Schizosaccharomyces pombe: one gene and its partner. The gene in region 1 interacts genetically with each later gene. Each region holds a gene or a part of one and is shown on either strand. Other genes may lie near its edges.

Evidence for each region. A genetic interaction does not mean that the proteins touch.
Region 2: mutations in ubc6 (region 1) and SPOM_SPBC32H8.01C together harm fitness less than expected from each alone (positive genetic interaction), as found in Schizosaccharomyces pombe (one large-scale study listed by BioGRID).

Annotation. Positions count from the first base shown.
Region 1 is NC_003424.3:1,214,211-1,217,759, forward strand, and holds ubc6 (ubiquitin conjugating enzyme Ubc6), read right to left. Parts: upstream 1,739-3,549; 5' UTR 1,719-1,738; coding exon 1,692-1,718; exon of another isoform or gene 1,652-1,691; coding exon 1,513-1,651; exon of another isoform or gene 1,429-1,512; coding exon 911-1,428; 3' UTR 578-910; downstream 1-577. Other genes in the region: RCC domain-containing protein Ats1, read left to right, coding at 1-571; RNA-binding protein Vip1, read left to right, coding at 2,961-3,549. UniProt on the Schizosaccharomyces pombe protein: Catalyzes the covalent attachment of ubiquitin to other proteins. Functions in degradation of misfolded or regulated proteins localized in the endoplasmic reticulum (ER) lumen or membrane via the ubiquitin-proteasome system.
Region 2 is NC_003423.3:1,449,871-1,453,208, reverse strand, and holds SPOM_SPBC32H8.01C (uncharacterized protein), read left to right. Parts: upstream 1-2,084; 5' UTR 2,085-2,104; coding exon 2,105-2,194; intron 2,195-2,272; coding exon 2,273-2,322; exon of another isoform or gene 2,323-2,414; coding exon 2,415-2,838; downstream 2,839-3,338. Other genes in the region: NEDD8 protease Nep2, read left to right, coding at 1-1,022; kinetochore protein Mis15 , read left to right, coding at 3,054-3,338.

The DNA of each region.
Region 1 (3,549 bases):
TGAAGGGAACTTGTATGGTTGTGGAGATGGCCGCAAAGGACAACTTGGACCGGTAGTTATGAAAACAGTTAACAAGGTTTCATTTCTCGGGCGTATTGAACATGCTCAAGCTGTTGTATGTGGTGTACAGTTCAGTGCAGTATTGCAAGAAACAGGACATGTAATTGTTTTAGGAGGGGAGAAGTGGAATGTAGCAGCAGAATGTGATGCTTGGCAAGCAAATAACAGTGAATTGTCTTCTTCCATCTGCTCTATATCAGCAAACTGGTCTACCTTGAGTCTATTAAGTACTGAAGGCTGTGTCTATGCTTTTGGTCGTTGTGATCGTGCTCAGAAGGCCCATACAAAAGCAAGTGATATCGTCCAAATCGCCAGTGGAACTGAGCACAATATTTTAAGGACAAAGAAAGGAAGTGTTTTAATATACGGTTGGAATGAGCATGGAAATGCCTCGAATGATGATAAAAGAGATGTTTATGATGCAAAAACTCTTCAATTACCAGGCTGGGCCTATATTGTGGCCGCTGGATATGCAACGAGTTGGATAGTGATTGAAGAAAATCACAAATAATGAATTGAGTAACTAAAATTTAATTTTATTTTCTACCGAAATGTCGAAGCTTTAATAACATTTGACGACATTTAAAAAAATGTAGTTTAGTAAGCTAAAAATCAAGCAATTGCTAAGAGACAATTGTCTATAAAAAGAAACTAGAACAAAGATTAACTTCCATTTAGTTTTAATTGAAGCGCGACATGTGATGCAGAGATGAAGGGGCAACAGGCAACGAAAGAAAAAAAATAAACATATAAGGACGGCAAAGCGCTATTTGGCATTAATCTCTTTATCGGAGGATCAAATGCAAAAACGCTTTCATAAGTTAATAAAATAAATACAAAGCATAACATCTTAAGAATCAGCTCCAAAAAAACGAGCTAAAGCAAGGGCAAAAAACACCAAAACTGCTATGCTCCAGCGACTTTTAACCCAGCTTTGCTTTGAATTAAACGGTTCATTCTTCTTGCATTCATTGGAAGATACAGGAGTGGAGTGAATTTGTTGGGGTTCGATTAGGGCCGCTTCAGCAGCTGCTTTGGCAATGTCTTCCCTATTTTTGTCAATTAACTCGGGGAACATTATTAAGAATTTAGGATTATCCATAATGTTAAATCTCTTCGTATCCTTTGCGTAAGTTCTCCTGGTAGACTCCGAAGTTACAATACCTCCAGTGGTAATCTCATCAGAAGTCATGAAAGAAACGAGTCCCACCAGAATAGTAGAAACCATCCATGAGGGATTCCAGGATTTTGGATGGAAGTCAGAAAAAGAAAGACAAAGTCTGGTATTCGTTTGGAAACGTCCGCTTGGAGTAATCATGCGAATTGCAGGTGGCTTAAAAGGATAATCGGGAGGAAAAATCAATGTCCCTGTACGCAAAGTTAGCAAAGGATGGCAACAGCCAAAAGTTCATGCACATATTGATTACAGAAGGAAATTTAAAAGAAACATACCATGATATTGTCCTCCTTCATATGGAGTGTCCGGAGGGCCAGTGATAATATAATGCCATTCCAAAATGTTTTCAGTTGCAGGTTTAGCGTCAACAAGCTCAACAGGGTTTTTCTGAAGAGCTAGATATTCTTTCATTAACTAAAATAATTAGAAGAAGCTTAAAATTATAAATCCATACCCGTTTATAAGCACCTTTCGACGCCATCGTTGTGTTTGTGAAGTTTGTGGAAGTGAGAAAACATGTAACCATATAATCCGCTCACAGTTACATTACCAGGTTAGCGGCTAGTTAGGTGATTCTTGTCTTTTACAAATTCAAAGCACAATCTCTACTAGACTAAGTGTCTTTGTAGGTTAATCAATATAAAACACCAACAAACTCCGAGGTGAGGTGCCAACTTCAAGTACAACGGTTTATTCAAATCACCAATTCGTAAATATAACACAGTTACTTGTAAAAGAGGTTTTCATTTCTATCTTTTGTAGCAATATACCTATGATATTTATGATATTTTATTTTCTCTATACGCAGCTTAAGCCCAAATGTAAAATATAAATATTGTTAACCTATGTACATTGAGGAAGTAAGATCGAGAAAATAGATTAAAAAATGCTTTGAAGCAAGGAAAGCCTTTAACTTATCTTTGTTTTACTTATTGTAGGTCTAACATTTATATTTCTCTTGCCTTCTCAATATACCTGATAATTTTGCTCATTATTCAATAAGAAACAATTTGGATGACTAACATGAGAAAAGGAACAAGCGAGGTAATCTATTCATATATTTCTTTCGCATTCTTTAGAAAGACCGTAAAGGCGATCCAGCAAATTCGGTTTTCTAGAAACATCAGTTTTCACTGTCCGGATATGCCGATATCGGGAAAATTAATGTCGGTCCTAAGTTTATGAATTTATCGAAACATAGTAGAAGCGGAAATTACTTCGTAATAGCAATTTAATGGATATTTTTTCCACAATTTATGCACTTTGCCATGCAACGAACAAAGCCAACTAGTATACCAAGTCAAGAAATCATGAGTACAGCAAAGTATCTAAGTGTTATCCTATTTAGTTTACAGTGACCAATAAAAATTGTATCGTGATATTCAGATAAAAAGATAATTGTCATCTATTTTCAGCTTCATTTTGATTTAGGCTCACTTATCGCGATAATTGCAATCTTTTGAAAACACACGTTCATTAATGTAATATCAGATTTAAAGTATGAAGTAGTGGCATTAACAAAGCAGCACAAAGTCAACTTTCCGTGATATAGGCTAAGGGCAAGTTAGAAATGTCAGGAAATTTTGCATTTTTGTGGTTTTTTCGTTGGGCTCAATCTAATCGTAATTGGGAGGATGTCGTCATCGATGATCACTACTTAAAAGCAGCCTCCATGGCACTCAACGTACTTTGAATCTCCATATTACCAGTTGAAACAAAAGTAATGAGCAACCAAGTTATTGTAACGAACATCTCTCCTGAAGTTACTGAGAAACAAATCTCAGACTTCTTTTCTTTCTGCGGTAAAGTGTCCAACATCTCTACCGAGAAATCTGGAGAAACCCAAACCGCGAAAATCCAATTTGAACGCCCTAGCGCCACCAAGACGGCCTTACTTTTGCAAGATGCTCTCCTTGGACAAAACAAAATCCAAATCACCAGTGAAGATGGTGGTGCTGCTTCTACTACCGATCAAGGAGGTGCTGGAGGCGATCAAGCCGCTCGTCAAGAAGACAAGCCTCGTTCAGCTATAATCTCTGAACTTTTAAGTCGCGGATATCATTTGAGCGATGTAACTTTGGAAAAGAGTATTCAACTAGACCAAAGCTATGGCGTTTCTTCAAAATTCAAGGGGATCCTCGAGTCTGCTTTGTCTGGCGTTCGTTCTGTTAACGAACGTTATCATGTCACCGAAAAGGCCAATGAGGTTGATAATAAATTTGCCATTTCTGACAAATTGAACCGCACCTCTTCTTTGGTTAGCACATATTTCCACAAAGCTCTTGAAACTGCTGCTGGCACTTCTGCCGGAC
Region 2 (3,338 bases), on another chromosome or scaffold:
TTTCCCTTCGCAAAAACGACGTCGACCACTTTCGTCCTGGGTATTGGATCCTTGATACAAACATCGATTTCTTTTACGAAATTATGTTGCGTCAAGTCTTGCTCAAACGTCCCAAGGAGGAGAGTCAACAAATATACTTGCTTCGTCCTGCTATGGTCTTCTTTTTGGCCCAGGCTCCTAATCCTTTGGAAATCGAGTCTGCCTTACCTCCTGCCATGTTTGATGCATCGTTTATCTTTCTTCCTATCAACGATACCAATGAGTGTGGTATCGAGAGCGGCTCGCATTGGAGTTTGTTAGTCGTCTCCGTTGAAAAAGGTTTGGGCTGGTACTATGACTCCATGTCCAATGGTAATACCAATGACTGCAACCTTGCCATCAAAAACCTTGGCATTCTCCTTAAAAAGGAATTCCGTGTCCGACACATGAAGACTCCACAACAAATTAATGATTGTGATTGCGGCCTTCATGTTTGCGAGAATACTCGTATCCTCATGTATCGTCTATTGCAAAAGCCTTATGTACCCAAAGTGGACATGAACTTGGACCATTCTGTTGTCGATAGTGTGCGTCTTCGCAAGGCACTAATGGAGGTCATTACTTCTTTACTTGCTGCTTATGGCTCCAAGGTACCCAAGCCTTCAGAAACGCATACCGATCCTGAAAAAGATAAAAAGATCTTTTCTAAAATATGCAAGACGGAAGAGTTGTTAGAGCTACCTACGCTAAGCGCTGTTACTTCTGATTCGGCCCAACCGCATTCTTTGCCAGCTTCTATGCCCAGTTCGCAACCTCAATCAAGGTCGGAATCTTTGCCGCTCACACATCCCAATTCGGAACCAAATCCAAAGCTCGATTCACAGCCCAACTCCTCACCAGTTCGTAGGCCATCATTAATAAAGGTAAAGACCGCTAGTACTTCTGTTCTTCCAACCTCGATACTTCAGAGACCACCCTCAATCGTACCGAGACCGGAAACCGCAGCTATACAACATACACAACAATCCATTGAGATTCATTAATTTCCTCTGTCTCCCAAAATGCAACTTGCTTTGAAGTGAAGTTTGGATGTCTGATTTATTTTTTGCTTCATCATCGAATTGCATCGCATTGCTTTTTTCATCCATTTTTTGCCGCTATTTCCGTGTTTCAAGCATACAAGTTTTATCGGATTGTTCAGATGGTTATTTTTTTGAGTCAAGTTTTGTCATTGTAAATCTTTAGATGTTCATTTGCATCCTCATATAGTCGTGAGAGATGAGGTATGAACGGATGTTTGTGTGTTATTTATGGAGGCTCGTCTTTTATTATTATTATTATATGTGTTTGGTTCTCGGTTCCTTATTATTATTATGTTGCTTGCTGGTTATTTTCTTGCACAATGTTGCTTATTTTTTAACTTGCTATTCCTTTTAGATAAAGGTATCTGGGTATAAGATTCCACTTATGCTGTTGCTGTACATTGCTGGTTTATCCGGTCACTCGTTTTTCCTTTTTTTTTTTCATTTTTCCATTGTTGATAAGAATTTGTCCCTTTTCTTTATCATTTCTAAATATTTATTTATCTTTGTATTGTCATTACTTATGCGTTTCATTTCTAAATCACTGATTTTTGCAATGTTTTCCATCTTTAGGTTTCCACCTTTTACTTGCTACAATTTTTATGAACAAACAAGTTGATCAATAGAAAATTTTGGAATTGCTTCCAGTGTTTTATTTTACCTTCCCTTTACAATAGGCTGAATAGACTTTACGAGTTGTATTCATTGTCCGAGGAAGGTTTTCAATAAGAAGTTTTGTTAACATGCCTTTTAATTGAATATGTATATGTGGGTGTACGTTGCACTAAAGCCTTTATTTATTTATTTATTTTTTTTGATCTGAGCAAAAAAAGTCAACATGTTGCTTAGTTGTCTATACAATGTTTGGGCAATTGCAAAAAAAATCAATAAAATAGATTGAGTATTTTATTTTTATTTTAGTTATAAATTAAATAAATTAAGTATTCTGTGGTGCTTGAACCGTCTATTAGATAAATTGATGTGTGAGTGTAATTCAGGCGATTCACCCCTTCTCTCTTCTTTACCTCAAATATAAAGTAGTAATGTTGAAGAAAATGCCGATGTCCAATAAATTTGAAAATTTCTATACATTGAGACAAGTTTCAGAAGTAGATAAAAAACCATGCTTTATTGTAAGAAACAACAGCAATTAAAAATTGCCCATTACCTTGATGAAGCACCATTTTCTAATACACTATTATCGTTTCTAGTGTTACAAGCCTACAAAATGGGTATTAATAACAAAAACTAAATTAGATTTGTAAGTAATCATTGTGAAAACCTTCATGGTTTGAGTTGATACATAATTTAATGGGAAGGAAAAAGTTTTTTTAACCAACAAAATAAAAATAGTTTTTATGTTTGCTACAATCATTTGCAAGATCGAGGTTTTGCTACACCAATTTCCGTGATTAAATCAGTGACTAACAAAATCGACACCAACAAACTAGAAGCTAAGGATGAGTCAAAAAACGTAGAGAAGGATGCGACCGGTAATCCACAAGAATCAAAACAGGAACCAAATTTAGAAGTGCAGCAGACAGAGAAGGAGAAAGATGTAGATTCGGCGTCTGCCGAGAATGAATCTATCAACTCCTCCTCCTCATCTTCTAAAGAATGTTCAACACAGACCCAATCCAAACACTATAATCTTCATCGAGATATTTTCCAAATGCGAATTCGATATCATGCTAATAGAGCAGCTGCCGAGAAAACAGCAAGACTTCTGCAATCTGGGCAAGGACTCCCTTCACCACCATCCAAACCATTGCCTTAGAAGAACTTGGGAAGAGTTAAATTTGCTTACAGCTGGTGCTGCCAAATGATCTCAAAGACCATTCTTTTGTAACATTAATATTTAACAAAACAAATATATCTGAAATCCTTCGTTAGTGATCAGTGTTTGAGAGGATAAAAAATTAGTCCACGGTAACGATTGATATATTGTGGCTCCTTGTCGTAAACATAAGATATTCAAAAAGGAGGACCGCTATGCGTACTGAATTGTCTAGTAATATTCGAATCAAGCATGACAAGAAGATCCAGAAGCTATTAAATCGATTTCCTAGGGATTTCTTAGTAAAATTGTGTGTAGAATGGATTCAGAAGCAAACATACCCACCAAATGCCAAAGACATCAATTTAGAAGATATGTTGGACGATGAAGAGTGGAATCCCGAAGCATTTTATAAAAATGTTCCAAAGAGCATGCTCAAACGCAGCATTATTCATCGAATGCTTGTGTACGATTGGCCTAATGGATTCTACTTGGGCCAA